7 linked regions of the Ovis aries genome follow. The protein of the gene in region 1 interacts with the protein of each later gene in a pairwise test. Links are inferred from orthologs where the notes say so. Each region holds a gene or a part of one and is shown in the gene's direction. Other genes may lie near its edges. The genes, in order: CREB3, AQP5, MS4A1, ABHD16A, STX8, HMOX1 and FAM3C.

The links.
Region 2: the proteins of CREB3 (region 1) and AQP5 interact in a two-hybrid assay, tested with the Homo sapiens proteins (2 studies listed by BioGRID and IntAct). The two-hybrid records come from large-scale screens. The link is inferred for Ovis aries from reciprocal best matches to the Homo sapiens genes CREB3 and AQP5.
Region 3: the proteins of CREB3 (region 1) and MS4A1 interact in a two-hybrid assay, tested with the Homo sapiens proteins (2 studies listed by BioGRID and IntAct). The two-hybrid records come from large-scale screens. The link is inferred for Ovis aries from reciprocal best matches to the Homo sapiens genes CREB3 and MS4A1.
Region 4: the proteins of CREB3 (region 1) and ABHD16A interact in a two-hybrid assay, tested with the Homo sapiens proteins (2 studies listed by BioGRID and IntAct). The two-hybrid records come from large-scale screens. The link is inferred for Ovis aries from reciprocal best matches to the Homo sapiens genes CREB3 and ABHD16A.
Region 5: the proteins of CREB3 (region 1) and STX8 interact in a two-hybrid assay, tested with the Homo sapiens proteins (3 studies listed by BioGRID and IntAct). The two-hybrid records come from large-scale screens. The link is inferred for Ovis aries from reciprocal best matches to the Homo sapiens genes CREB3 and STX8.
Region 6: the proteins of CREB3 (region 1) and HMOX1 interact in a two-hybrid assay, tested with the Homo sapiens proteins (2 studies listed by BioGRID and IntAct). The two-hybrid records come from large-scale screens. The link is inferred for Ovis aries from reciprocal best matches to the Homo sapiens genes CREB3 and HMOX1.
Region 7: the proteins of CREB3 (region 1) and FAM3C interact in a two-hybrid assay, tested with the Homo sapiens proteins (2 studies listed by BioGRID and IntAct). The two-hybrid records come from large-scale screens. The link is inferred for Ovis aries from reciprocal best matches to the Homo sapiens genes CREB3 and FAM3C.

The regions. Positions count from the first base shown.
Region 1 is NC_056055.1:52,808,423-52,812,838, reverse strand, and holds the start of CREB3 (cyclic AMP-responsive element-binding protein 3), read left to right. Parts: upstream 1-1,611; 5' UTR 1,612-1,757; coding exon 1,758-1,895; intron 1,896-2,010; coding exon 2,011-2,158; intron 2,159-2,233; coding exon 2,234-2,301; intron 2,302-2,412; coding exon 2,413-2,502; intron 2,503-3,973; coding exon 3,974-4,080; intron 4,081-4,188; coding exon 4,189-4,257; intron 4,258-4,416. UniProt on the Homo sapiens protein: Endoplasmic reticulum (ER)-bound sequence-specific transcription factor that directly binds DNA and activates transcription. Plays a role in the unfolded protein response (UPR), promoting cell survival versus ER stress-induced apoptotic cell death.
Region 2 is NC_056056.1:136,330,405-136,334,948, reverse strand, and holds the start of AQP5 (aquaporin-5), read left to right. Parts: upstream 1-1,739; 5' UTR 1,740-1,858; coding exon 1,859-2,221; intron 2,222-3,315; coding exon 3,316-3,480; intron 3,481-3,857; coding exon 3,858-3,941; intron 3,942-4,544. UniProt on the Homo sapiens protein: Aquaporins form homotetrameric transmembrane channels, with each monomer independently mediating water transport across the plasma membrane along its osmotic gradient. Plays an important role in fluid secretion in salivary glands.
Region 3 is NC_056068.1:81,834,387-81,838,245, forward strand, and holds part of MS4A1 (B-lymphocyte antigen CD20), read left to right. Parts: intron 1-1,480; 5' UTR 1,481-1,495; coding exon 1,496-1,654; intron 1,655-2,183; coding exon 2,184-2,303; intron 2,304-3,470; coding exon 3,471-3,527; intron 3,528-3,859. UniProt on the Homo sapiens protein: B-lymphocyte-specific membrane protein that plays a role in the regulation of cellular calcium influx necessary for the development, differentiation, and activation of B-lymphocytes.
Region 4 is NC_056073.1:26,686,717-26,691,097, forward strand, and holds the start of ABHD16A (phosphatidylserine lipase ABHD16A), read left to right. Parts: upstream 1-1,541; coding exon 1,542-1,673; intron 1,674-2,655; coding exon 2,656-2,712; intron 2,713-3,428; coding exon 3,429-3,495; intron 3,496-3,741; coding exon 3,742-3,828; intron 3,829-4,381. UniProt on the Homo sapiens protein: Phosphatidylserine (PS) lipase that mediates the hydrolysis of phosphatidylserine to generate lysophosphatidylserine (LPS). LPS constitutes a class of signaling lipids that regulates immunological and neurological processes.
Region 5 is NC_056064.1:28,676,995-28,681,607, reverse strand, and holds the start of STX8 (syntaxin-8), read left to right. Parts: upstream 1-1,539; 5' UTR 1,540-1,551; coding exon of another isoform or gene 1,552-1,568; intron 1,569-2,837; 5' UTR 2,838-2,862; coding exon 2,863-2,945; intron 2,946-4,613. Other genes in the region: CFAP52 (cilia- and flagella-associated protein 52), read right to left, coding at 634-715. UniProt on the Homo sapiens protein: Vesicle trafficking protein that functions in the early secretory pathway, possibly by mediating retrograde transport from cis-Golgi membranes to the ER.
Region 6 is NC_056056.1:179,237,573-179,240,829, forward strand, and holds part of HMOX1 (heme oxygenase 1), read left to right. Parts: intron 1-929; coding exon 930-1,421; intron 1,422-3,257.
Region 7 is NC_056057.1:87,537,136-87,541,546, reverse strand, and holds the start of FAM3C (protein FAM3C), read left to right. Parts: upstream 1-1,537; 5' UTR 1,538-1,696; exon of another isoform or gene 1,697-1,735; intron 1,736-4,411. UniProt on the Homo sapiens protein: May be involved in retinal laminar formation. Promotes epithelial to mesenchymal transition.

The DNA.
Region 1 (4,416 bases):
TTTTCTAACTCCTACCTTGTAAACAACAGGATCCAAGAACCCTTGCCCTCAACTGTGGTGGTCACAGCAAGAGCCTGAGGCTTAGAGAATAGAATTAAGCTGGAATCCCTGATGCCAGCAATTCCAGCTAGCCCAGAACCCTAGCCTGAAATTAGTCTGTCATTTCCCTGGGCCAAAGAAGCCTTCCCCACAAAACAAGGGCATCTACCTACTGCCAGTCTCTTAAATTTCACCTGCCTGAGGTCAACTACCCTGACCTCAACTACAGCACAGAAAACTGCCTGAAATTTCTAACATTAATGCTGACCATAATTTGTCTCCTGATTCCCAGTACTGGATTTGACAGGCATCCCTGTCCTACCACATACCTGAATCCAATCCCTGATCCCTAATTTTGATCTAATTTTTACCTGTAGCATCAACTCTGGACCTTTAACCCTGAATCTTCATCCCTAAACCTAAAGTTCATTTGTCACTTGATTCCTGATTCACCCCTTTCTTGTTTATCCCCTGTACTGGCTATGCTAACCTTCTCTAATCCCTAAATCTGGACTTCTAACTTAGTTTCTGTTGTTGACCCTTAACCTGAACTCTAATGTTGGTCGTTATAGAAAACAAAATAATGCCCTTAATCCAAACCTCACCTACACAAAACGCACCTCACACTAATAAATCTAAATTTTAACCCCAGCTGCACACTCCTAAAGCTAACCTTAACTCCTAAAACCCAACTCCACCTAATCTCCAACTCACCCATTCCTGCTCACGTACCCGCTATCAGCTAACCTCAAAGCCGATCCCCGCCCTGCGTCACACTGCCACCCACTCCTCACCCTCCCTCTAAACTATCCTAGGCCGAGGACTGCTCCAGGAAGGGCCTGGCTGCCGAAAAACTGCCTATTTAACTCAGAGCACAAGCAGAGATACACCGGACGCGAACCTCTCCAAGATGACCCGAAACAGACGCAGAAGTCAGGGGCCCTGCCCGCCCGCCTCCCAGGCCTGGTGTCGCGGCCCCACCCTGAGGCCCCAGTTCGCCCGGTCCGGCCTACCTGCGCTGCCCGGCTCTGTGCCCCGCCCGCCGGCCCGCTAACCCGCTCGTTCTCCCGGTGGCTCTCGGGCTGCGGCCTCGCCCTCCCTTCGACACTCTCGGCCACTTCCGTCCCGGGAACGTCCCCCACCCGCGGGCGGCGCCCTGGGCCCGCGCTCTATGGTCGCGGGCACTGCAGGAAGCTGCTCTGGCCCCAGCTCTCGATGCTCGGGAGCCCGCTGACGACCGGCAGCCCCTCCCCAGCCGGAAGCGAGGGTGCGGTGCAGTCCCGAGGAAGCGCCAGAACTGCGCCCTAGTTCCCTTTTAGGCTGTAATCCTTCCTTTTTCTAGCCCGGGGCGGAGCCGCTTCCTCAGAATGCCCGCCCTCAGGGACTGCGGAGGCGGAAGGCACGTCCCCTCTATTTGCATCGCGCCCTGGACGTGGCGCGTACAGCGGCAGCCTCCGCGTCGGGGTGGGGTGGGGGACTCCAACTCCCGGCATGCCTCGCGGGTAGGTGCGTCACTTGTGTTCTGTTGGAAGTCTAGCGGGGAGTGGAGTCTGGAAGGCGTGTCCCGGTTTCAGAGCCTTCGCCAGCAGCTAGGAGGAAAACGCCGCTGAAGAGCCGATAGGTGGGGCCGACTGACAGTCCGTCGCGGTTACGCCTGGTTGGGGATAGGGTCCGGGTGGCGAGGTGAACTCCTGTGTTTCTGCGCATCTTTTCCATAAATGTCTCATATGGAGCTGGCGTTGGACCCGGGTGACCGTGACCTGCTAGGCTTTCTGCTAGAGGAAAGCGGTGGTTTGGGTGCGGCGCCCGACGAGGCCTTGGCGTCTCCGCCGGATTGGGAGCTGCCACTTTCTGAGGCGAGTGGGGGGCTCTGAGTCGGGGAGGCGTGAGGCGGGTTTGTGGGCGGGGTAGGGGTGTCCCTGAGGCAGGGGGTGGTGATGGTCAAAGCCTGTCAATTTGAACCCTGTGCAGTCTCTGAGCGATTGGGACGTGGAGGATTTCCTGAGCTGCCTGCCGAGTCCCCCATCATCGTTGAACGTTTTCAGCAGCTCTAACTCCTGTCTTGTCCAGCATGACCACACCTATTCTCTCTCACAAGAGCATGTCTCCATAGATCTAGGTAAGCCTGAAATAAGTGAAGTTTGGGAAAGGAGAGGACTCCGAGGCCTGACTACTCATATTTTCCCTTTTGCAGATAATGAGAGCTATGGAAAAGAGGGGACTCAGATGACTCCACTGTGTGTGGAGGAGCCGGCAGATCAGGTACTTGACTTATAGGAGGGTTATTTCCGTATTGCGCGGGTCGGGGCAGTATTCCGCGTTACTTTCTGAAATCCCTTTGCAACTCTGCTGCCCATCTCTCCGGAACCGCAGGAGATTGCTAGGCTGATACTGACTGAGGAGGAGAAAAGGCTGTTGGAGAAGGAGGGGCTTACTTTGCCTGGGATGCTTCCACTCACTAAGGTAAGTCTCCCATCGCGGGGACGGGGGTTGTGAGTTCCAAGTAGGCCAGTTCTGTTAATTTTGTATCAGTAACTTGAAAAAGAATTGAGGTGAGAGATTAGCACATTTTTGAGTAGGAAGCTGGGGCATGTGGTTAGTATACTGCTTGCAAGGACAGATCCTGGTTTGTAGTGCTTTTATAAATTTTGGTGTTCTTTTTAACTAAGAATTCAAAATTATCAGGGTAATATTAGTAAAGGGATTTGGAAAGTACTGTACAAGCGCGGGGCTCTGATACTTATATTTCACTGGTTTCATGCAATTTACTTGTAGCTGAATAGTAAATCAAGTATTAGAGTAGTATAACAAGTAGTATAACAATTAAGTAGTATAACAAGAGTAAATGTGAAATTTGGAGTTTCAAGCAATGAGAGGCAGTTTCACATGCACAGTATTGTGATACTATGATGAAATCAATGTCTGTTAACAGAAAGGTTAACAATTTTAATTTCTCAAAAATATAAGTTGAGGCAATCCCCTGGCAATCCAGTGGTTAGGACTCTGTGCTTTCACTGCTCAGGGTCAGGGTGCAATCCTGGTCTGCACCAGGGTGCAATCCCCTGGTCTGGGAACTGAGATTCCACAAGTGCGAGGTGTGGCCAAAAAAAAGTACAAGTTGAGTCAACAGTGTGATATGGCTACTAAGGAAGAGAATGGGGTTTAGAAGCTGTATCATCAGATTTAGTTGTTGTTGTTTGGTCGCTAAGTCGTGTCCAACTCTTTGTAATTCCATGGACTATGGCCCCCAAACTCCTCTGTCCATGGGATTTCCCAGACAAGAATACTGGAGTACGTTGCAATTTCCTTCTCCAGGGGATCATCCCAACCCAGGGATGGAACCTGTGTTTCCTGAGTCGCCTGCATTGTAGGCAGATTCTTTACTGCTGAGGCACTGGGGAAGCCCAGTTGTATCATCAGATACCAGTTATCTAATAGTGTTGCCACTAGAAGGGCAGTAACTATCTTGTTTTCTTTTACATTGGCCAAAAAGCTTCTTAAGTTTTGAGCCTATTATCTTTGACAGATATTAAGAAGATGCAGTCCATCCTGAGAAGAGATAAGATGATGAGTTAAAATTTTTGCCCAGTTTTTTTTTTTTTTTTTAACTCTGAAGAAATGCCAAGTGCTTTAAAATAGCTGAAGACCTTTGTTCTATTATGGCCCCAGAGATTAGGTGCTAGGTAAGTCCAACAGGTAGAAATAACAAAGGCAGATGTTGGCTCATAAGGAAGGTTTTAAAAAAAAATTATCTAACAAAATTGTTACAATGGTTTGGCTTGTGAGGACAGAAGCATTCAGACAGAAGCAGAGTGCCTATTGGTCAGGGAAATTGTAGAAGGAATCTCTGCTTTGAGAAGATTGAACTCGGTTGCCTTCAAACTCTTTGGTCTAATGTTCCTCTGATGGGATCCCTTTTCCTGTCTTCTCCCAGATGGAGGAACAAGTCCTGAAACGAGTGCGGAGGAAGATTCGAAACAAAAAGTCTGCTCAAGAGAGCCGTAGGAAGAAGAAGGTGTATGTGGGGGGTTTAGAAAGCAGGTATGAAAGGGAGCTGGACTCGGGGGTGGGAGAAACAGGTAATTGGAAGTGTGAGGTTTTTGAAGGGAGGATACAGGCCATGTCCCCACATCCCTGTTATTCCTCCAGGGTCCTGAAATACACAGCCCAGAATCTGGAGCTACAGAACAAAGTACAGCTCCTGGAGGAACAGAATCTGTAAGCAGCTCTTTCACATCAGGGTTTGCTCATCCCTCCCGCTTACTACTGTCTCAGTCTTTCTCCTGCTCCATATTTGATTTGTCACCGGGCATCTCTCACATATGTCTGATGCTTGGTCTTTAGTGGGTCTCTGATTCCATGAAGCTCACAGTAATG
Region 2 (4,544 bases), on another chromosome or scaffold:
AATTTAATCACACAGTGGAGGCCAGAGCCCTTGGTTAGCTGTAAAAGATTGGTCTCAAAACCTCAAGTAGGAGCTTCCTTCCCCTGAACACTACTGAGTCCTTCCCACTTTAAGACTGTGGAGTTTAAGATTTGTGGATTTATGAGAGCAGTGCCTTGAAGAGAGAGAGCGAAAAAAAGGATGGAAGGGGGTAGACTGGAGGCAAGACAGAGGTGACAGAGCTTAGTCCTCAAAGGCCTCTGGGGTCACGAATGTCATTGTTCCAGTCTGCACCGGTCTGTACCAGGCCCACAGACCCCTGTGCCCCCAAGCCCAGATGAAGATCCTGTCACCCTCTGCCAGGATCAGGGCCACAGGACCCAGGGCAGATGGCCCCCTGTCTTAAGAGGAGAGACCTGGGGGAGGAGCAGCTCCCGCAGGAAACCAGGGCAGAGCAGGAACAATAGCAAGGTTTCTTCCCCCCTTGTTTTCTTTGGCTTCTTAGCTGCCATGGAGCCCAGGTTCCTCCTCCAGGTCCTTGACTTTCCTCCAGCCCGCCCCTCAGCCCTCTGACGGAACAGCACCTGTTCCCTCCCTCTGCAGGAGGCTTTTAAAATTACAGTCACCATGTGAGGAAACTTTACTGGAGCCTCTGTGCCAAGCACCAGACTGTGCTTCCCAAAGATGGGGCATGGGAGCGGTGGAGGCGTCTTCAGTGCAGCTCCACTCCTGGAATCTCGGGGGTCAGTCTTTGCCCCTCTTCCAAGCTCTCAAGGGCCCTCCAGCCTCATTCCCCACATACCTACCCGGGGATTAGGAAAGAGGGAAGGATGGGAGGGGTGCGGGTCGGGGGAAGAAGGGGCGGCGGAGAGGAGGGACTGGGAAGGACTGGAAGAAAGTGTTACCCAGTTCACGGGTGGGAGAACTTGACTTTGGGGGAACTAAAAAAGACCACATGTAAGACATTCAGACGTGGAAAATGATGCAAAGACTGACAAAGTCACAGAGAGTAAAAGAGATGACCAAAGGTGAAATAGAGAGTGGATGCGAGGATGGCCAAGTCCGGGGCAGGCTGGCACGGTGCTCATTAATCCCAAACGCCCCGGCTCATTAATCCCAAACGCCCCGGCTCCAATCCAGGAGGTCTGCCCCGCCCGAGTCAGGGAGAGGCCCGCGATGGCCTGACCGCCCCGCAAGGCCCTGCCCGGCCGTCCGCCCCCGCCCCCGCCACCGCGGGCCCGCAGGGAGCTGGGTGGCGGCGGCGCTGTCCTCAGGGAAGCGCATCATTCCAGCCCGGCCGGGCATGAGGCCGGGTCAGGATGCCCAGGTCGCAGGAGGAAAAGGAGGAGCTGGACCCAGCGCCCGGAGAGAAGAAAAGGGGAAGACCACGCCAGAGATCAAGGCTCAGCGGAGGCACCCGTCCGGAGGGCCGAAGAGCGGCAGAGCCCAGAGCCAGCAAAGTCTCCCCGGGAGCCCGGGACAGACAGTGGAGTAGGAGCGCGGGAGCCGCCCGGAGCGCACTATGCGCGGGTCCCAGCCCGCCGGGCCGGTCTACACCGCCGGCCGGGTCACGTGGCCCCAGAGGGCGTGCGGCTGCCCGGGCGGGGGGGCGCGCGGGGCCGGGGGCGCGGCGGCCCTGAAGTGCCCTCCGTGCGCGCGGTGCTGGCCCCCGGGCGCGGGAGCCGCCCACTGCCCCCCCGGGCCCGCCCCGCCGCGGGCCGCCTGCCTGGTATATAGCGCGCCCCCGCAGGCCCCGTGCCACGTCGCTAGCCACGCCGCGGGCACCCGAGACTGTGCGGCGCCCCCGAGCCAGCCCCCCACCCCCTGCACCGCTGCCGCCCAAACGGGCGACCCCTGCGGGGGCTGCTGCCTCGACACCATGAAGAAGGAGGTGTGCTCCGCAGCCTTCCTCAAGGCGGTGTTCGCAGAGTTCCTGGCCACCCTCATCTTCGTCTTCTTCGGCCTCGGCTCGGCCCTCAAGTGGCCGTCGGCAATGCCCAGCGTCCTGCAGATCTCGCTGGCCTTCGGGCTGGCCATAGGTACCATGGCCCAGGCCCTGGGGCCCGTGAGCGGTGGCCACATGAACCCCGCCATCACGCTGGCCCTCCTGGTCGGTAACCAGATCTCCCTGCTCCGGGCGGTCTTCTACCTGGTGGCCCAGCTGGTGGGCGCCATTGCTGGCGCCGCAATCCTCTATGGGCTGGCCCCGTACAATGCCCGAGGCAATCTGGCTGTCAATGCGGTGAGTGCCCAGGGGGCTGGCTGTGGGGCAGGGACCCTGGGGTGGGCTCTGGACCTGGTCCCCAAGCCCCATCTCCAGGATGGGTGGCACAGAGTAGACCAGCCAGCTAACACCTTTGCCAAGAAGGTCATAGCACCCTAAGGCCAGGAAGATGAATCTCCATGGTGGTGCGTGCTCTCCGCCAGCTCCTCGGTTGGTATCCGCCTCCTCTGCCCGCCCACCCACCTCGCGCTGCCTCATCCCAGCCTCTCTCCTGGTGCCTGCTGTTTGCCTTTTCTTACCTCTCTTCTCCTGTCTTACCTCCGAGCTCTTCTGTCCTCCTGGGCACCTCATCGCTCCTGTGATGTCCTCAGTGGAGTGGTCTCATGGAACCATCAGTGACAGATGGGTTGTGATCCTGGCTTTGGTGACCCCAACCTCTCTGGGTTTTGTTTTTCTCATTCTCATTACATGGGAATGGCCATGACCTCCATAGAGTGGGACTCAGGGGGGTATGTTTAGAAGCCAGGTTTGTGGGCTCCCTAATCAGGTGCCCGTACATATGGTCTCTGATGAATATTGCTTTGTGCTCCTGGACCCCTCCCCTTCCCGCCATCCCTAGAACTCCAGTTTCAGCCCCCTTGTCCCATGCAAACTGGGTTCATTAATCAAACACAGAGGAGGATTTTCTCGGCCATTGTCAAACCATGAGTCAGCCCCACCGGAGAGACGGGTTTGAGGTTTGGAACTGGCAGTGGGTCAGGCACGGGCGGGAGGCGGGCTTGGGGGGTGCAGTAAGCAAACTGGGCAGCTGCCCACAGGAGGAAGGGTAAATGCCAGCTTGTGGGGGTTGGGCCTGGGCAGACTGGTGACGGGCCAGTGTCCAGGAAGAGGTCCCCCAGCTTTGTCACTTTGGCCACAGCTCTGCGTTCCAAGCTTTCTGAGCACTAGCGAGTATATAGTCTCTTTGGCAGATGACCTCCCTGAAGTGGCAGGGCTTGGCTTCCAGGCACTTGGGCCCTAGGAGTCCCTGGAGACCAAGACCCCCATCCCTGCGGGTTCCTGGCCATAGAGTCAGAAGAAAGCAGGGATCCTAACACACCATCCCCTTGCAGCTCAACAACAACACGACTGCGGGCCAGGCTGTGGTGGCGGAAATGATTCTGACCTTCCAGCTGGCACTCTGCGTCTTCTCTTCCACTGACTCCCGCCGCACCAGCCCAGTGGGCTCCCCAGCCCTGTCCATTGGCCTGTCCGTCACACTGGGCCACCTAGTGGGGGTGAGCAAAGGCGCCATTTGGCCCCTCAGGGCAAATAATGGGGCCCTGGGGCAGCACCTTCTGGATCAACGAGCACCCCAGTGAAGACCTAGAGTGGAGCTGCTAGACTCTGGCCCAGACCCAATCCCCTCCAGTGTGAGAAAATACAGGAGCGAGGGGGAGTTGGGATGGGGGCAGGAACCAAGCCCAAGCTCAGGACAGAGAGGAGAGGAGGGTCCAGAGGGAACTGTGAAGGGAAAGGCACCAGGCTAGGAATCGGGGGACAGTTGGATGCCTGGCTGAGCCCCTGAACTGCTAGGGGACCCCAGCGTGGGTCCAGGCCTTGTGAGTGTGGACAGGCATGCTGCCCTCCTCACGGCCTCCTTCTCTCTGTCTAGATCTACTTCACGGGCTGCTCCATGAACCCGGCCCGATCTTTCGGTCCCGCAGTGATCATGAGTCGGTTCAGCTCCGCACACTGGGTAAGGCTGGACCCTCCCCTGTCTCCCTGGCAATGAGTGCCTAGAAACCCAGCCTTAGCAGTTGACAGTTAACAGGACTTTCTGGATGATGGGGGCCCAGAGCTTGGGGGTGACTGGAGAGAGAAGGGGATGCAGCCAGAACCAGGGCTAGATTTAGATGGCAGGGGACCCTGTTTGGGGGGCAGCGACTATGCGTGTCTGTCCCTCTAGGGAAGGGAAAGGCACCTGTGCTCTGGAGTTGATCTCTGAGGATTTGGTTTCCATCTTTTGGGGTGGCAGGGGGCAGGGAGGTCCAAGTGTCTGTCCTCTCTGATGTATTATTTATCTGTCCCTGTTGGGGACTGGGGAGAGTCTGCCTTCCTGTGGGTCTGTCCCTCTGGACAATCTGTCTGTCATCTCCTTTGAGAGTTCATGGTCTCTCTCCAGAGTCTGTCTCTCTCCCTGTGTTCATCTCTCTGAGGTTCTCCATGTCTCTTCCCTCTGAAGGTTCATTTGTCTCTCTTTAGGGTGGGGTTGGTGGGCTTCCCAGGTGACGCCAGTGGTAAAGAACCTGCCTGCCAATGCAGGAGACGTAAGAGACTGCAGGTTCGATCCCTGGGTTGG
Region 3 (3,859 bases), on another chromosome or scaffold:
GAGAACCTCCCTGAGGCGATGCGCTCAAGACTGCAGAGTGAGTGGGAGCAGGGCAGACTGTACCAGCCCCTCCTGACTGCAGGCACAGTCGTCACCATCTTCCACCCGTCCATCTGCTCATGGTGACTCTGGCCCATCACCACGGACAAAAGCAGATAAGCTAAGGGACGAGGACAAGCCCGTGAAAAATACATTTTCTTATGTTAAAGCACAAGAAAAGCATCCAAGGCTGACAGACGCACAGAACCCACGAGTTAGCGAGCGTGACACTCTCCACAGAGCAAAACCATGACCCTCGTGTGGGTGTCGAGAACACTGGCAGGGACCCCTGAGCCAGATCCCTGTACATTTAAAAAACAGTCACAGCCTAAAAGTTGAGAATGTCCTTTTATTTGGCAGAAATTTGTAGGACTTAAGCCCAGGAGGCAGCATCTCAAGGAATCCTGAGAGAACTGCCCTGAAGAGCTGAGGGAAGGCGCCTGGGAAGGCACCAGGTCATTCAGAAGTTTTGAAACAAAAGGCAGCTAGCCTGAACATCAAGGTGTTACTGTTAATTAAAGGAAATCAGACCTTCCAAGTTAGGGGACCCGGTGCTTTTCTGTGTATGGAAGATGTAAGAGTCTGGGCTCCCAGAAATCTTTCCTTTCCTATTGTTCAGCCGCTCAGTCATGTCTGATCCCATGGACTGCAGCACGCCAGGCCTCCCGGGCCTTCACCATATCCTGGAGCTGGCTCAAACTCATGTCCATTGCGTCAGGGATGCCATCCAGCCATCTCATCCTCTGTCGTCCCCTTCTCCTCCTGCTCCCAATCCCTCCCAGCATCAGAGTCTTTTCCAATGAGTCAACTCTTCGCATGAGGTGGCCAAAGTACTGGAGTTTCAGCTTTAGCATCGGTGCTTCCAATGAATATTCAGGACTGATCTCCTTTAGAATGGACTGGTTGAATCTCCTTGTTGTCCAAGGGACTCATAAGAGTCTTCTCTGACACCAAAGTTCAAAAGCATCGGTTCTTCGGCGCTCAGCTTTCCTTATGGACCAACTCTGACATCCATACATGACCACTGGAAAAATCATAGCCTTGGCTAGATGGACTTTTGTTGGCAAAGTAATGTCTCTGCTTTTTAAAATGCTGTCTAGGTTGGTCATAACTTTTCTTCCAAGGAGCAAGCCTCTTTTAATGGGTGCCCTTAGAGCTCAGAAATTCACACTGCAGGGCCAGAATCACTGCTGACTCTGCCATCCTCAGTCACTGACCAGGCAGGAAATACTCCACGTGTCGTGCTTTGTCTGAGATGCTCCCCCAGACCCTGTCTCAGAACGTGGAGGGAGGCCTTGCCTCGATCCAAAGCCAGTAGGAAGAGGCCCTGACTGCCTTCAGTGACACCGTGCAGAGAACACAGGGGAAACCATTCAGATCCATGACAAGGTAGAGGTTGGCTGACAATCCTGTTTCCTCTCATCTTATCATTTATCCTCAGGAGTCTGAGGGTGAGATGACGACTCCCAGGAATTCAGTGGTTGGAGCTTTCCCAGCAGAGCCCCTGAAAGGCCCCCCCGCTATGCACGCTGCTCAGAAAGGGGTCCCCAGGAGGGCGCCCACGGTGGTGGGCCCCACACAGAGCTTCTTCATGAGGGAGGCGAAGGCTCTGGGGGTAAGTCAGTCGCCCTGCACTCCACACCCTAGGGACTCCCTGGCCTCTAGAAGCAGCTGCTATGGGCCAGGCACAGGATCCAACCTGACTTAAAGGTATTGGATCCAACATGAGGTGTTCTTTATGTCTGACATGGCCGGGGTGGGGGGGGGGGGCGGGGCGAGGGGGGAGGATCAAACCAGGGACGCGAAGAGATGGCTGCCGCTTATGCCCCCCTGCCCTGTGCCTTAGACTGGCACAGTTAGGGGCCTGCACCCCAGCTCATCACCCGCGTCCCAGCGCACCTGCCTTGGGAGTGCCGGGGGGTGGGGGAAGTGGGCCTGAAGACGACAGAGGTCTTGGGCCCTTTAGCGCGGGCTCTGGACATCTCACGCTGCCCCTGAAGACCACAGAGGTCTTGGGCCCTGTAGCGCTGGCTCTGGACATCTCACGCCGCCCTTCCGCTCAGGAGTCAAGGCTTCCAGGCCCCCTCCTGCTTCCTGACTCTCCGATTTCAGTCCCACCACCAGCGCCCCTCTCCTCCCCCCAGGCCGTCCAGATCATGAACGGGCTGTTCCACATTGCCCTGGGCAGCCTCATGCTGATCCACGCGGACGTCTACATGCCCATCTGTGTAACCTTGTGGTACCCTCTCTGGGGAGGCATCGTGGTGAGTAAAGCCTAGTAACCTTTTGAGGGAGTGATACACAAATGTTCAAAGAAGCTCCATGGGAATGTACCAGATCACCTGTGTGTTGAGGAAAGCATAGGACTGGGGAACAGGTTGTCTGGTTGAAGTGATTTAAAGGAAAAAGAGTCTGAGTTGAGCCCGAGTCTCGTGGTTGAGTCAGTGGTCATGCTTCTTGGGAATTCAGAGAAAGCGGCCCGACGTGGATGTCCACAGTGAGGGAAGACCGCTCCAAGCACGACCTCTCCAAACTCAGCGGCTGGGGTGGAGCTGGGTGGGTCCTAGACTTGAGGGTTGGTGTTTCAGAAAGCAAGAGTGGGTGGGGGCATCGCAGCTGCTCCCACCTGGCCCTTCTTCCCGAGGATTCTCTTCAGTTCCTGTCTCATGTGGTGAGACAGTCGCGTGCCGAGTGAGTCCCCCTCGCCTGCCAGTGGGGCAGTAATCCCCACGGCTGCCTCACGTGCAGTTTCCAAGCCTGAAGCCCTGTGTGGATGAGGCGTGAGGCAGCGACGTCTCTATCCCCACTACACTTTCGTAGATGAGCTGTGAAGACAGGCTCAGGACTGAAATTTTCAGGGCAAGAAGAGATCGATTAGAGCCAGAGTTTCCCCCATTTCACAGCTTAAAGAGTAAAAGGAAGACGGGAAACAATGGTCACTTCCTGTAGCTGCCCACATTTTAGCAGAGCGCCTGCTCCAGGCAGGCCACGTGCGTCTTCTACGGCAGTCCACTCATCATTGCCATCAGTCATTAAAGCACTGTGAACTCCAAAGAACCATTCCCTCAATTTTTTTTTTTAATGGAAAGCTAAAAATAAAGCTTTTAAGTTCACTGTGTGAGAACTAATTGACATGGAAATGTGAGTTCTGCCTCTGGTTTTACTAAATGCCTAGTCACAGATCCCCAGCTGGTTGAATGAAAGGCAAGGATTTAATGTGGTTGGGCCTGAATAGTGGAGAAAGATGTGCTGAAAAATGAATGAAGCCATTAAAAAGGGCTGAATAGCGCAGGGAAAGTGGTTGAAAGGGTGGACAGCTTTTTCACAGTTGCTTCTCCGCATTAAAAGGTGATCTTCCCCTCTGCCCCTCTCCCCGCTGCTTCTCCCATCTCTCCCCACCCCTCCCCTCCCACCACCTCTCTTGTGTACAGCACATCATTTCTGGATCACTGCTGGCAGCAGCGGAGAAGAACTCCACGCAGAGCATGGCAAGTAGCGCACGCCCTCCTTTCCCACACATCAGAGCAGCATCTGCTGTCCCCGCTGGAAACAAGGGCCCTGGAAGACCCTTGGAGTCACAGTCACTGTTACCCCTCAACCCCCAGGAGGGAAAGCTCCTCTGTGATGCTACTGTGATCGGTTCATAGCAAATGTGAAAACGGGGTGTCCGTGGAAACAGAGGCAGACCGATGAAGAGCAGGCTTATGGTCTCAGGGATGAGGGATGCTGCAGGAGACTGAGACCTCTTTGAAAGTCGCGTCCCTTCCCTCAGATCAGCATTGAGGAAAATGGTCTAATCAAGACCGTGATTGACTCAAGA
Region 4 (4,381 bases), on another chromosome or scaffold:
GCTCCTCTGTCCATGGGATTTCCCAGGCAAGATTACTGGAGTGGGGTGCCAATTCCTTCTCCAGAGGATCTCCCTGACCCGGGGCTTCCCTGGTGGCTCAGATGGTAAAGAGTCTGCCTGCAATGTGAGAGACCCAGGTTCAATTCCTGGGTGGGGAAGATCCCCTGGAAAAGGAAATGGCAATCCACTCCAGTATTCTTGCCTGGAAAATCCCATGGATGGAGAAGCCTGGCGGGCTACAGTCCATGGAGTCGAAAAGAGTCCAACATGACCTGACCCAGGGATCAAACCTGCATCTCCTTCATTGACAGGGGATTCCTTACCACTGAAGCACTTGGGGAGCACCTGTATAAAGTTCAAAAACAGGCAAAAGTAACGTCTGAAGTTAAATTAAAATAGTGGTTACCCATGGAAGGATCTAGAGATTATCACACTAAATGAAATAAGCATGCATCATGCTAAGTCACTTCAGTCGTGTCCAACTCTTTGTGACCCTATAGACTGTCATCCACTAGGCTCCTCTGTCCATAGGATTCTCCAGGGAAAAATACTGGAGTGGGTTGCCACTCCCTCCTTGAGGGTATCTTCCCCATCCATGTTGCTTAAGTCTCCTGAATTGGCAGGCGAATTCTTTACCACTAGCGCCACCTGGGAAGCCCAGAAGAAGTAAGTCAGAAAGACAAGTACCGTATGACATCACTTACATGACAAATGAATTTATCTATGAATCAGACTCACAGATATATTTAATTAGTGCACCTTTCTGTATATGTGTTTACTACAATGAAAAGCTAAAGGGTTTATATATTATGTAGGTGTAAGGTACAAAGAAAAAAAAACAGCATACCTTTTGAGAAATAGAATATTACCCTTTCAGCCAACGATCCTCTACGCTGTGTAACAGTGTTATACATTTGCTCTTTATCTTTCACATAATTGATCATTGAATTTTATGTGTTTTTTAACTTCATACTATGGTGTCATCTTGTATGTAATTATGGTTCTGAGAATTGTTCACGCTTAAGTGCGATAATTCATCCTTTTGTTTTTAACCAGTGTTTCACACATCTTAACGATACTGAATCTTCCTATTCATAACCATGGCGTAGCTATTTATTCAAGCCTTCGCTTACCTCTTTCAGTAATTTTTGTAATTTGTTCCTAACATCTTGCATTTCTTTTCTTAGATGTATTCCTAGATATTTTTGTTGCTCTTTTCAAACGCTAATCTTACCCCTTTTTCCCACTGTCGCTCGAGAGTCTGCCAATATTAAGGGGCAGAAAAAAGTGACTTAACCATGTCTCATGATAGTTCTAACTCTCCACAATCCAAACGCCTGCAGCTAATTTCTGACCACTGCTGCACCCGTAGCTCCGAATGCAGGAAACCCTACTCAAGAAGCGCTGAAACTGTCTCAACTGGGCGCGAGGCGGAGCCGGTACGTGCTGACGTCAAGGGCACGCAACACCTTAGCGGCCCTGGGAGGGCGGGGCTGACAGGGGGACCTGCTGCTGGAAGAGCAGCGGCCCGGGCCGGGGCCATGGCGAAGCTGCTGAGCTGCGTCCTAGGCCCCCGGCTCTACAAAATCTACCGGGAAAGGGACTCTGAAAGGGCCCCGTCCAGCGTCCCTGGGACTCCAACTTCAGTCACTAACCCTCACTCCAGCTCCTGGGTGAGTCGATTCTCCCCTGGTTAAAAAAATAGTACGGCCCAAACCCCTTTGCGGCCTTTGCTCCCCAGAAGCACCCATTATTGGAAGTCGGGAGAGACTGCTTGTCAAGCCAGTTTTCCGCAAAGTCTGTGCTCTTTGTGCTTCCTGGGTTAAAGTCGCGCCTGTGGACTGACCGCCTGCTTTACTGCTGTTTGCCAGTGCTTTCTCATTCCGACTGCCACTCCTAGCTTTTTCCTTTCGCGACCCCTCACCCTGCTCTTCGTGGTTCATGCCATTCCCAATTGACTCCTAAATCCTGGAAGAGAACCCGCTCGGATTCCGGAGCTGGATGATTTTGCCTTCAAACTCTCAATTTCCTCGTACCCCGTGCCTCACCCGGTTCCGTTTATCTCCCCTGGCCTTGAATTTCAAAATGACTTCTGCAACATTTAATATATCCGGTCTCCCCCACCCCACCTCTAGTCTACCTTAGAGACCTCAGGATCATTGTGTTCAAGAAAGCCGGTGAGGTGGTAGGCAGTGCCCCTAAATGCGCTCCTCCTTTTTATCGGTAGTCTCAAATTATGTCCATTGTACTCTACAAACTGCCCACCCCCAGCCACATTCTCTTCCTTAATGAATCTGCGCTTCCGATGCTTTTCTTTTCCTCTTAAAGTTGTCATGGTGTCGTTTCTTCCCTAACCCCGATCCCCATCCGCCCACCACCCATTTGAAACTCGTTTGTGGAAAAGGAGCAAAAGTCGGCCAAAGCTGCTTTCACTTTTGCTTCCAAGTCCAGGCCCCTGTGTTTGTTCTCAGGATCTGGAGTGAGAGATCAGGTTATGAGTCAGGGTGGGGAAGAGGGGAAGCAAAGACGTCCCAGGAGAGATGATTTTGGGAGCTAGGACTAGAGTGTTGGAGAACACACATCAGGCCTTCCAAAAGGGATGGTGGAGGCCTTGTCAAGGAGCAGGGTCCTTAATTCGGCCATCTGTTTTGGCAGGATACGTACTATCAGCCCCGTGCCCTCGAGAAACATGCTGACAGCATCCTGGCACTGGTATGTCTGCCCTGGCATCTGGGACTACCGCATCTTTTCAGATCCAATTGCCCTCTTGAACCTTCTCCTTCCCATCCTGGGAGAAGGCAGTACCCCTAGGGGTGGGGGATGCTCTGGGCTCTGCAGCAGGCATCTCCAACACACATACACCCAGACAGCTCTCCAGCGTGCATACTTGGTACTCCCCTTTGGCCTATGCACGGCTTTCTCTGGGGCAGCGTGAACCGTTGCGGAAACCGTGTTTACTTTCGGGACCATCCGCAGGTGCTGAGTCCTGCAGTCCCCAGTGACCTGTCCTCCCTGGCAACTAACCTCTTTGGCTGCAGAGACAGCTGTTCTCTCTGGCAAGGTTCCTTTGGTGACATTTGTGCATCTCTTAGGGACCGGGCCAGGGACTGTCCTGAGCAGGGCTGATTGAAAAGGCTTGATTACCTTGAGTGGAAAGAGACTGGTCTTTACGTGTGATGAAATTATGTCCAGAGATGATGAGAGGAAGACAATAGAAGCCGTGCCAAGTTTTCCCAGCCTCTGTTAACGCTCTGACACACTACCTTTCAGCAAATAATTGAGCACCTTCTGTGTGCGTGGGGTCATGCACAGAATAGGTACTTGATGTGATATCCCTCAGGTTATTCACTTTGCTCAGAGCCTAGACCCGGTAATGGCAGACCTGTGTGTGTGTGTATTGATTGCTTGTCCCTGTCTCTCTGCTGCAGGCTTCAGTCTTCTGGTCCATCTCTTACTACTCCTCTCCCTTCGCCTTCTTCTACTTGTACAGGAAAGGTCAGTGTGACTTCAAAGGTGATGGGACAGGAAATGGGCAGATCATTGGCAGCTGAGCCGATTCCCCAATGAGGAAAGGGGACCTGGGATGAGGATGGCTTGGCTTCCCTCTTCCATCAGGCATCTTCTCCCTCTGAGGGCCTGCTGTCCCCCAAAGAGGGTGTGGTGGGGAGGTTGGGACTGAACTTGGCAGAGGGGCTGGGGGCCAGTGGAAAAGCTTTTCACATAATCCTTCTCCCCTCCCAGGTTACTTGAGTTTGTCCAAAGTGGTGCCATTTTCTCACTATGCTGGGACACTGCTTCTACTGCTGGCGGGAGTGGCCTGCCTCCGAGGTAGGTGGAGAGGGAGCCTGGTTTGGATCTGTCCATCACTGGGTAAATATTCATTAAATACCTTCTGCAAATACCATTTGGTGCTAGGCCCTGAGGGGAAGTAATCAGTGGTCAAGACATGATCTTTTCCTTAAAGGGCTTGAGTCATAAGTATGAACAAATACTTAGCAAAAAGGTTTGCTATTATCTAGAAAAGCTGCACATACCCTCCGACAGTTCCATACATATCTATGTATGTTTGTAATAATCCTACACTGGACTCCATGACCCCACATAGCAGGATGGATAAATATGTTAGAAGGTCAAGTCCTAACCCAGAACACCAGAGAGCAAGGCACTGGACGAACTGGTTACACTCAGCTACACAGATGAATCTCACAGATGCAACGGGGACCACCAGATAATTTATGCACTATGTTTCCATTTACATGAAGTTCCAAGGGATGCATAAATAAGTGGCACAACACGGAAGAGAAACACAGGCATGACTGTCTTAAAAGTCAAAATTAGGGAGAGTGATTACCTGGGAATGGGGAGAGAACAGGCTGGGGAG
Region 5 (4,613 bases), on another chromosome or scaffold:
CTCAAAACCCAAACAGCATTTCCCCTCTTCATGTTCCAGATAGGAGGTGGTCATAAGTCAGAACCAGGCCCCTCTGACCAAAGCACCTCTCCGGTCCATCCCCCCCTGGTGTCCATCATGGTCTGAAATCCTCACCTTCCTTCTGGTTAGAAGACAAATCATCCCCTAAAGCGGTTGCTCAAAACACAAATTCCCCACTCCCTCCAGCCCCTTCTTATTAGTGTATCAGCTGGGATTTTAGAGGTTACTTGTTCCCAGGGACCTACACGTATTCTGTAACCCAATACTGAGGCGCAGGCAGTTTTGCTGGCTGTGTGGGGCTTAGAGCCAGGGGAGAGCTGGCCAGTGCGAGAACGGTTTCAGATAGCATTTTTTTTATCCTTATGGCCTAGTGAGGGGGCATTTGGTTCCTTTCAGACGTTTGCAAAACCCATCCCATTCTTTAAGGCCTGGAGCGAGGACATGATTCTAAGATCTTTGGGGAGGAGAGGCTGTCTGGGTCCCCAGTGCTTGACTCATGCCAGCGTCCCAAGCTGCCTTCCAGGTGCCACCTGGTGTCTCACTCTCCCTGGTTGCACCACACTGTCCTTGGGGTCCCTAAACCACCCAGCCCAGACACGCTCGAGGTCTCACCATTGAATCCGATCACGGCCTCAAGCTCCAGCTCTACTGCCTCAGCCACCTCATCCTTGGGCGAAGTTTGGGTCTCCATCATCTGGAGACTCCGCTCACTTTCCTCTCAGCCTACAGAAGGTGCAGCGTCTTCTGGTCGTTATGGTAACGGACTTGCGCATGCGCGCTAGATCCGCGGTCGCGCTGAAAGCCGGCCTACGGAGTCCGAGTCCTTTTGCCCTCGCGAAAATCGAGAGGGCATTTTTTTTTTTTTCTTTTTAAATTTTCTAGTATTTCTCTGGAAATTTAAGGGGCACGAAATGGACAGACTAATTCCCTCCTCCCCCATGTAAAGAGTCTGTGACCTTTTGGGTAACGATATAATCAAATACTTGATGGCATTTAAAAATTAGACAAAGTTAAGTGCCTCTGCTGGCAAGGCTGCTATAATATATAATTGACACTTCTTTGGGTCCCTTGAAGCAGGATAAAACAAACAAACAAACTATTGAGGTATAAATTACATATCCTAAAATTTATTTAAATTGAGTTTTAGTAAATTTATACAATTGTGCAATTATCACCACAATCCAGTTTTTTTTCTTTGTTTTAAGCAGAATAAAATGTTAAATAACTGCTAGAGGTCTTAAGGGGCTCCCACCTTCCGGGGAAAATGATGGGATTTTGCTCGAAAACAATTTTATTTTAATTGCACCCAGCTGTTCGCGTCTCTTAGGACGCAAACTGGTCCAGCCCTCAGTCCCCGGGGAAGCGCTTTCCTTTTTCTCATATCAATAGATTGGAGGCCTTAGGGTATGTATATTGCAAACTACGAGTTCCGGGCGCGCACGGGTCGAGCCGCAGGGTGTGAGCCGCGCGGGCCGCCGTAGTCAGCTGCTGCGAGCAGGAAGTGTCCGAGCTGCGGGCGGAGACTGCACCATGGCCCCGGACCCCTGGTGAGCCCCGGGTGAGGGCGGCAGCGCGCGGACGGTCTCGGGGGAGGCCAGGCTTCCGGGGAGCGGGTGATCGCTAGGCATTGGGGCCGGGGGCCTTTCAGAATGAGGGGTGGGGGAGCAGGGATCCTTCTGCTGCCGCCGAGAGCCGGGGGTTGAGGGGCTGCGCTCCGTCGCATCCCGCCGCCACTCTCGGTCCTGCAGGGGTGGCTGGGGTGGGAGACGCGGTGTACACTTGGAGGAGTTCCAGCGCCGAATCTCTGAGCCGCATCTCCATCCTGGTGGTGGAGCTGGCTGATGCGGGACTCCTGTGAAAGTGAAGTACAGAGTAACCTTTTTGGTGGAACCCAAGTCCCTCTGGTCAATTTCCTTATTTCGCCGGTAGCGAAACCGAGGTTCAGAATTCACGGGAGTAAGCGAGTTAGTAACCAGTTGACGCTGGGGTCTAGATCTTGTGCGCCCTTCAAAGAAAACTTACAGGAATCTGGGAAGGAAATTATGCCTGTTGTTGATAAGGTATTTTGTCCTCACCTCAGTATCATGAAGACTGTCTACAGCAGCAACTTATGCAGTAAAACAGTAGCTGAGAAGAGTCTTTTATTCAACAGTAAAGTCCCTAGGACTGAATGATGAAAGGCACAAATTCCGATCCAAGGAACCTACTGCAATAGCATATTCACTTGAGCTTTTCGTTTACTAATTAAAAACCGTCTAGCTCTACAAAGTTCTTTTTGGAGAATATGTCTCACATTAGTACTTCTAACATAGTTTATAGTTAATTTGCAGACAGTCTGGATATTAATAGATTAACTTTGCAAGATCAAAGTTAATCTACCTAGGATCTGGATTGTCTGGACCAATGGCTTAACTGATTCCATACTATTTTTTTTTCACCTGATTTTAACACCCTGATAGAAAAATTTAGAAAATACTGAATATTTGCAGAGGGAAAAAAAGAAAAAAGAAACATCCTTAATTCTATCATCTGGAATAATTGCTGTTGACTTTTTAAATGAATTTTTTACTTTGTGTAATATATGTGTGTATATAATGTATTTTATAGAAACAGAGACCATTTCTCTGTATCGCAAATATTCCCTGAAAACACAATCTTTATGTTGCTTAATAGTGTATCATGTGAATAACCATGATGGAGTGTGATTTAATCATTGTCCCTTTGTACCTTTTTAAAAAACACTACGGTTTTTTTTGCTTTTATTTTTTTTAATTGCCCCTTGGTACCATCTCTCACTTCTTTGACTTGCTTCCTAGAAGTGGAGCTACTGGGTCCAAGAGTATGAACATCTTTAAGGCCCTTGATACAGATGGCTGCGTTGCCCTCCACTTCATGGAGGCTAATTCCCTCATTTTACACATAAGGTAGGATATATAGCTCAGAAATAAGGTAGAGGTCCCAGGGTATCCATTTAGATGGGTGGAAACTATCCCCAAGCCCCTAGGCCTCTTCCTTGGTTAACGTGCAAAAAGCACTGATAATTTCTCCTGCTACTCTGAAGAAGTTTAACTTAGCAGCTTTCTCATGTTTGTTGAAAGTGAGACACTGGGGGACTCTGCTGTGCTCAGTCAACTTCCTTGAAAAGTGGGCTGCTGATCAGGAGAGCAGAAAGGAGTAGGGAATAGGACTTAGAAAAATCTAGAAAAACAGACTTGATTACAGCTTCGCCCTCCTGCGATCGAGAATCATGTCAGTGATGCTTTACTCATGTTTGGAAGTAGAATATGACTGTTACTCTTTTAATGGCATATCAAAGCAAATGGTAAGCTCACTGTGTGATAGAAATATCGCATGGTGACTGTCTCTGAACAGGCTCTTTGCTAAAAGTTAATCAGCTTTATCACTTTTTCGCTCTCCATTCCAGTTCCTCAGCCTCTGTCATGGCGTCACCATCCTCTTAGTCTCTTAAACCTAAAAAACTCTAGTTATCTACTTTTTCTTCATTCGTCCTGTCAGATTATTGACTCATCTCCATGATTTTTATTTTTTTCTCTTCTGCTGTTGTCCAATCCTTTATAGCCTTATGGTTTACAGAAGTAAATGTTGGTGGCTAGTTATGGAGCTGAATAGCTGGAGAAGTCTTCTACTGGTCTCCTTTACTCTTCTTTCATTCCCAATGATTTGTGTACATGGAGTTCAGGTTACTTTTCCTAAACTAGCACTTTAGGCGCCTGTGTGTTTGATTCCATCGTCAGGTTGCCCATTACCACTAGGCCAGTGGTTCTCAAGCTGTGCTATAGATTGGAATCTCCCGGGGAGCTTTACAACTCCTCACGTCTAGGGCAAGGCCCCTGCCAATTCAATCAGAATACTTGGGGTATGAGGAAGCTTTAAAACACGTCCCCAGTGATTCAGGGGGTTTCCAAGGTACTTCAGTGGTAAAGAATCTGCCTGCTGATGCCGGAGATGCAGCTTGGATCCCTGGGTGGGAAGATCCCCTGGAGAAGGAAAGGGCAACCCATTCCAGTATTATTGCCGGGAAATCCCATGGACAGAGGAGCCTGGCAAGCTACAACCCATGGGGTCACAAAAGAGTTGGACACAACTGAGGACTTGCAGACCAGACAGTGATCCACATGTATAGAAGAACTTCAGAACCAGTTTGTAGAGCTCATGTGAGAACCAAGGATTAGGAGCAAGGCAACTGGGGTTTTGGCCGTAAGCGTTTCACATAACCTCTTCAAGGCCTCAGTTTCTCTGTAAAAGTATACCCCACAGTTCTCAAATTCCCTTCAAACCTTATTATTATGCTACTCAAGACTCTGCAGAAACTAACTTCAACTCCTTTCTGCCATCTTGTTCTTCACTGTCCTACCCAGGACCACCCCTCAGCCGACCATGCCAGGCTCTTTCCCTTCCTTTCAACTTTGCTTGCTTCCTGTGCCTCTCACCTCTTCTAAAAGGTGCTCCTCCCTCTTGCTGGAGTGAGAGGCCTGCTTTGACCTTGTGGTTCAGCCCAAGGTATAACCTCTTGGCCCAGCCTTATCAGGTCCAAGTGTCTCGGCCAGTAATTTCTGTCGCTTCCAAACTCC
Region 6 (3,257 bases), on another chromosome or scaffold:
TGCTGACTACCAGGTCGCGCCTAGTGCTTCACCTCTGCCATCCTCCCTGATCCCCATACCTGCCCCATCACTCTGTGGTCAGATTACCCTTCTACATAAGGAAGGGAACCTTGTGCAGAGTCACCCAGGCCCCAGATTGCCTAGAGAGGGTGAGTGGTATTATCCACCGTCACCCAACCAGGGACTGGCCGAGTGGAGTTAGGACCAGGTCGGTCACAGTTGAAAACCCAGGCTGCTCTGTACCAGGCTGCCTGGGTTTCTGCCCTGGTGAGAGACAGTGCTCCCATGAATGATTAAAGGTTCAGAAATCACCTGAAAACCTCAGCCGGAACATCTAAACTTTGTCCTCTTTCTAACTCAAAACTAGAAAATTAATGTGTAATGGGAGTTACCCGAGCCAAGGGGCACTGGGCTGTCTGTCCCCCAGCCCAGCTTTCAGAGGTGATGGGGTTCAGAGGGGTCTTCTGGGGAGAGCTGTGCCCTGCAGATGGATCCCCAGAAGTCAAAAGCCAGGGAGAGGTGCCTGGCATCTCCTGTAAGCACTTTCATTCACTTACTTTCTCCAGAAAGCCATGCCTGTGCTTGGCTCCATTTCTGTTTCTTACTAGCTTTGTGACTTCTGTGTCTCATACCCTCTCTGAGCCTTAGTGTCTTTTCTGTAAAATGGGCATAGCCATTCCTTTGTTAGATTTTTCCAAGGATGAAATGAGGATTCGTATTTTTTCCAGTGTAATAAAAGGTTTTTAGGCTCAGACAGTGCACGATGAAAATTTTCTCCTGTGACACTTTCTCTGGCTGCCACGTGGGGAGGATTGGAGGGGCTGGCAGGAGGTGGGAGCCCAGCCTGGGGAGGTGACAAGGATGACTCTGAAGGCGATAGTGCGAAGGGGCTGGGTGCTCTGATAACCACCTACTTGCTCTGGTTTCAGCTGGTGATGGCATCTTTGTACCACATCTACGTGGCCCTGGAGGAGGAGATCGAACGCAACAAGGAGAACCCCGTCTATACTCCCCTCTACTTCCCAGAGGAGCTGCACCGCCGGGCCGCCCTGGAGCAGGACATGGCCTTCTGGTACGGGCCCCGCTGGCAGGAGGCCATCCCCTACACACAGGCCACCAAGTGCTATGTTCAGCGACTCCAGGAGGTGGGGCGCGCCGAGCCCGAACTGCTGGTGGCCCATGCCTACACCCGCTACCTGGGCGACCTGTCTGGGGGCCAAGTTCTCAAGAAGATTGCTCAGAAGGCCCTGAACCTGCCCAGCTCTGGGGAGGGCCTGGCCTTCTTCACTTTCCCCAATATCGCCAGCGCCACCAAGTTCAAGCAGCTGTACCGCTCCCGCATGAACACGCTGGAGATGACCCCCGAGGTCCGGCAGAGGGTCCTGGACGAGGCCAAGACCGCCTTCCTGCTCAACATCCAGGTGAGGGTCTGGGCTGTGCTGCGTGGCCACCCTGCCTCCAGCTGCTCTTCCAGGGACATTTCTCGCAGGGTTGGGGGCGGGGGGCGTCAGCGGTCATGGTTAAGGGCAGGGGCTTGGGGTCCAGGGTTCCAGTTCTGTCACTTACCTGGTGGGGTGATCTTAGGCAAATCTTTATCTTAATCACTTTGTACTTCAGTTTCCCTATCTGTAAAATGGGGATATAATAGCACTTAGCTCACAGAGTTGTTGTGACTGCTTAAATCAATCAAGTCCCCAAAGCAGGACATGTTACAGGGTCAGCCCTCGAACATTCAGTTCAGTTCAGTTGCTCAGTTGTGTCTGACTCTTTGCGACCCCATGAATCACAGCACGCCAGGCCTCCCTGTCCATCACCAACTCCGGGAGTTCACTCAAACTCATGTCCAGCGAGTCGGTGATGCCATCCAGCCATCTCATCCTCTGTTGACCCTTCTCCTCCTGCCCCCAGTCCCTCCCAGCATCAGGGTCTTTTCCAGTGAGTCAGTTGTTCGCATGAGGTGTCCAAAGTATTGGAGTTTCAGCTTCAGCATCATTCCTTCCAATGAACACCCAGGACTGATCTCCTTTAGGATGGACTGGTTGGATCTCCTTGCAGTCCATGGGACTTTCAAGAGTCTTCTCCAACACCACAGTTCAAAAGCATCAATTCTTCGGCGCTTAGCTTTCTTCACAGTCCAACTCTCACAACCATACATGACCACTGGAAAAACCATAGCCTTGACTAGACGGACCTTTGTTGGCAAAGTAATATCTCTGCTTTTCAATATGCTATCTAGGTTGGTCATAACTTTCCTTCTAAGGAGTAAGCGTCTTTTAATTTCATGGCTGCAGTCACCATCTGCAGTGATTTTGGAGCCCAAAAACATAAAGTCTGACACTGTTTCCACTGTTTTCCCATCTATTTCCCATGAAGTGATGGGACCAGATGCCATGATCTTAGTTTTCTGAATGTTGAGCTTCAAGCCAACTTTTTCACTCTCCTCTTTCACTTTCATCAAGAGGCTTTTTAGTTCCTCTTCACTTTCTGCCATAAGGGTGGTGTCATCTGCATATCTGAGGTTATTGATATTTCTCCCAGCAATCTTGATTCCAGCTTGTGTTTCTTCCAGTCCAGCGTTTCTCGTGATGTACTCTACTCTGCATATAAGTTAAATAAGCAGGGTGACAATATACAGCCTTGACGTACTCCTTTTCCTATTTGGAACCAGTGTGTTGTTCCATGTCCAGTTCTAACTGTTGCTTCTTGACCTGCATACAGGTTTCTCAAGAGACAGGTCAGGTGGTCTGGTATTCCCATCTCTTTCAGAATTTTCCACAGTTTCTTGTGAGCCACACAATCAAAGGCTTTGGCATAGTCAATAAAGCAGAAATAGATGTTTTCTGGCACTCTCTTGCTTTTTCGATGATCAGCGGATGTGGGCAGTTAGCTACGGTTATTGTACGATGTGAGCATCACCATTGTGGCACTCTGTGACAACTCCCTGTGACGACATACAAGTAGGCTGTGTGCTCATATGTAGCCAGGTTGGCACTGCAGGGTTCACGGATGCTGCAGACCTGGCCTCCGCCATCTGGGCCTCTCAGCCCAGCCAGGAGGCGTGATCTGTTCTTTCTACAAGTGTCTCAAATCCAGGGGAAGATGGGTTTTGCCTTGAAAGGTGATCTCTTAGGCAGAGCCAGGGTGGGTGTTCCCAGTGGGGGTGAGATTCCTTCTAACCCTGATGTTGTAGAATTCTGTCGCTCTCCTCCTATCTGGAGGCCCTGTGGGAACTGGGCTCTTAGTTTATGCTTTCCTGG
Region 7 (4,411 bases), on another chromosome or scaffold:
CAGAGGATGAGGTGGTTGGATGGCATCACCCACACGATGGACATGGGTTTGGGTGGACTCCGGGAGTTGGTGATGGACAGGGAGGCCTGGCGTGCTGCGGTTCATGGGGTTGCAAATAGTCAGACACGACTGAGCGACTGAACTGAACTGAAATTCTCTCAGTGGGACCTAGGGATCAAGGGAAGGTGTGTAACATGTTGTATTTTTGTATCATAAGAAACGAAGTGCCGTATTTGTTTGAAGCTAGATGGACCAGGCTAGAATTCCAACTTCACAACGTACTCCCTTATATTTTCAAACAAGTGATTTAAACTCAACTTTGGAGTCTTGGTTTTTTTATCAGTTAAAGCAAAACACAGCTATTATCGACTTCAGTCTGAGTTGGGAACATTAAATGGGAACACATTCCCAAATGCCCAGCAAGGTGCAAGCAAAGAAGGCTCTCAGAATGCATTTATTGCTTCTTTATCCTATCATAGAACACACACTTCCAAATTCACAGCTATTATTTAAGTTCGGTATTTTCTATTTTTCCAGGTATGTTGACTTGGTAGAATACTATGATTAAACCCTATTATTTCTTTAATGCAATTTAATTTCTACAACCATGTATTGTCTTGATATTCTACCTAATATTGCTAATAAGAATTATAGTTATTAATTATTTTGGAATGTGGATCAGAATTATGAAACAATTTTGCATTTGCAGCTTTTGGTTTGATCTCCCAGTTAACACATGATCGTGTGAAAACGTGTGTACAGGAGAAAAACATTTCTGTTACGTTGCTAAATACATTACAGGATGCTTGGGGCTGGTGCACTGGGATGACCCAGTGGGATGGTATGAGGAGGGAGGTGAGAGGGGGCTTCAGGATTGGGAACATGTGTACACCCGTGGCGGATTCATGTTGATGTATGGCAAAACCAATACAATATTGTAAAGTAACTAGCCTCCAATCAAAATAAATAAATTTAAATTAAAAAAGCAAAAAAAAAAAAAGAAAAAAAAAGAAAAAAAGAAAGTGAGGTGCAAAATACAAGAACTGCCTTTCTCCTTGAGTCCAACATTTAAGGTTACCAGCGTTCTGCTGCTCAGTCAGGTAGTATCTTTGCCATAGGTGAGCTAGTTTAGGAGTCAGGAGGATATAATGATCATCTCGAATATGGAGCTCTAAAATGGGACTGATTATTTTAAAATTTCTTCCTTTAAGGCGGGGATTATGGAAGTGTGACTGAAGGCAGAGGGTGGCGGACGAGGGAGCGCGGGGAGAGGCCGTGACACTTCTGCCCTGTTCTGGGGTGCAGACGGCCGCCGCCCCCTCCTCTCCCACGTGGCAGGTCCAGACAGCCCGGCGCGGACAGGGGGCGGGGCCGCAGAGCCCTCCCTTGGCTATCCGGCCCTTCCTCGGGCCTGCACGGCGCCAGCTCAGTCCTCCACCGCCAGGGGGCGGGCGCGGCTTGCCGGCGGCGGGGGCCCATTGGTTGCGCCGGGGAAGCGGGGGAGGCGGCCCAGCGGCGAGCTGGCTTCCTTCTGGCCAGTCGCAGGGGTGAGGGGAAGCCGGAGGAACCCAGGAGGAAGCGGAGGAGCGAACCGGAGGCGGCGGCGGCGGCGGCGGCTCCCGTCGGCCTTCTGCAAGACTGACCGCAGGGAGCCCGGAAAGCGGGCGCGCGCGGCGGAGAGGCGGGCTGGAGGCCGGTGAGACGGACCGGGAGGCGGACCGAGCCGCGGCCGAAGGCAGGGAGTCTGAGGGAGGCGGGGGGGAGCCGGGCACCCACCTTCACCTTCATCCTCCGCTCCCGCCGCGATCGCCGGCCCGGGGCGTGCCGGGGTGGTCGGGGCGCGTCCCGCCGGGGGCAGGGCGCGATGGGAGCGGGGCACCGGAGCGTGGCGGGCCGGGGGTCCAGGCCGCCGGCCCCGCGCGGGCATCCCCAGCCGGGCGGCCAGTCTCCGGGCTCCGCGGAGGGCGGGGCGGCGCCTGCACCTGGCGCTCCGGCCTGGGGCTGGCACCTGGGGCGCGCGTCCAGCGCTCGGTCTCCAGCTCGGGTCGGAAATGCGGGCCGAGTGCTCTAAAGGGGCGGGGATGGAGTTGGATGTTGCGTTAGAACTCTGTGGAGGGCGATCTTGGCTCAGTTGTAAAGTTTCAGTGTCTTCTGAGCTGGAGGTACTTTTTATTTTTTAAACCTATCCAGCCCATTGGTATTCAGTATCACGGATGGACGTACTATTCTTTTTTCTTTTCTTTTTTTGCCACTTGTTTGCCGCTAAGCTCACAGTTTTTACAATATGTTACAATTTGTGACCCTAGATCTTAAATAATGAGTGATGGACTGACAATCTCCAGCTGAATTTTTTTTATTTTCATCACTCTCTGCATTTTTAAAAAAATTTCTGATCATACAAAACTGTTTAATTCACAGAACCTTTTCTTTGTTTCTTTCTATTTGGCCAAAAAGAGTATGAATACAGTTGCTTACGAGGCGCTGTGCCAGCTGCTTTCAGATGCACATTTATTTCTTAACGACCCATAGAGTATGTGCATTTTCCCAATTTTACTGAGAAAATATGAACTCCCCTAGAGGTTAGGTTCAAAAAGATAGAGACTAGCAGGAGATCCCAGACCCCTTGAACTCTTAACTACCTTTCAGGGCTAGTGATATCCTGTCAAATTTTATAGGTTTTGGGGAGACCTTAATGTTATTCATGCAGTGCATTATTGAGTACAACGGGATCTCCATTTAACTTAGAAAATTCAAGTTACTAGCACCAGCAAGAGATTGGCAGAATCAGCATCTGGTTGTGGTCATATCCATATCATTAACTATACCTCTTTTTAAAGGCTGCCAGTCTCAAGTTCTGTGGCAGTTTACTAATTAAATCACAGCGTTTCTGCCGCCCCGCCCCCCACTTTATACAGGTGTGAGAAGCTTTAGTCTGTGTAATGTTATCTAAACTCATTTTTCTTGATAGCAAGAAATAAAAAGAGTTTGATGCAGTGATACTCTCCCAGGGGATCTCTCAGAATCACCTATAAATGAGACTTCAAAAAAGGACACAAGTCAGGTTCCTCCCCAAGACCCCAATGGAGGGATCTTCTGTTTAAAAGGGAGTCAAAGTAAGACTGAGGGCCACTAGGTTAAAGTGACGTTTTAAATAAACTTAATAGCTGTTACAATTTTAAAAATAATTACTAAGTAACTAAATCTTTTTGTAATTAAAGAAGATACCTTAAAAAGGAAAAGATCATTGGAGAGAATGTCAGAGGATAAAGAGATTGTTGTTGAATGGTGATATGTAGTCCTTGTGGGGCATCAGAAGAGTCTTAACTTTTATTTAACCACATATTTTAAGTCTTAAATGGTCAGCCTCAGTATTTGAAAACTTGTATATTCATAATTAGACATACCAGAGTACTTATTTGTGCCTGCTGGTAATTATAGGTAACATGGATACTGTGAATAAGGCAGCCTTGGCTCTCAAAGCTACTGTACTTTCTCTGAGGTAGTGAGTCTTCCCCCACCCCCGACTCCTTACTTTTATAACTCCTTTCTCAGAGCTGAAAGGTCCAAGACCTAAGAAGTAAGAGATTTTGGTCTTATGTATCACAGAAATGCATCTAGCTGAGAATTTAGTAAATAGCAAACATTTGTCTTAAACTTAGTCCAGAAGAGTTCCTGAACCTGGGATCAGAAAATTGGGATTTTAAGCAGTAATTCTGCAATTAGTTCATTGCCCAATAGAGGGCATTGACCAATTTATTTAATATCATATTTTGCCTAATTTCCTTAATCTGATTGGGGTGATTGCACATGACTCCCAAGCTCTTTAAACTTGAAAAGGTTTTGTGAATTTTATTCTGCTCTTAAAATAGAGTCAGCTGATATTTTCTCAGGGGAGAAAATTATGTTCCACTACCTCTAAGTTTCCACAGTTTCACCCCATCAGTATTCTTCCATTGTCTTCTTCACTGGCCTGTTCATTTGATTCAAGCTATTTTTATTACTTATATCTCCCTTATTTCCAATCTAATTAATTTTCATTTGTTCTTTATTTTTCTAGCTTCACTCTGGTGAGTTTTTCAGTTGCCTTTAAAAATTAATCTATGTAACATAAAATTTACTATTTTTAAGTGTACAATTCTGTGACATTTAGTGCGTTCATAGTATTGGGAGGTCATCACATCTTTTTTTAAAATAATTTATTTAATTGGAGGCTAATTACAATTTTGTAGTGGTTCTTAACCATACACTGACATGAATCAGCCATGGGTATACATGTGTTCCCCATCCTGAACCCTCCTCCCACCTCCCTCCCCATCCCATTCCTCAGGGTCATCCCAGTGCACCATGTCAGGTCAGCCCTGAGCACCCTGTCTCATGCATCGAACCTGGACTGAACGATCTCTTTCACATA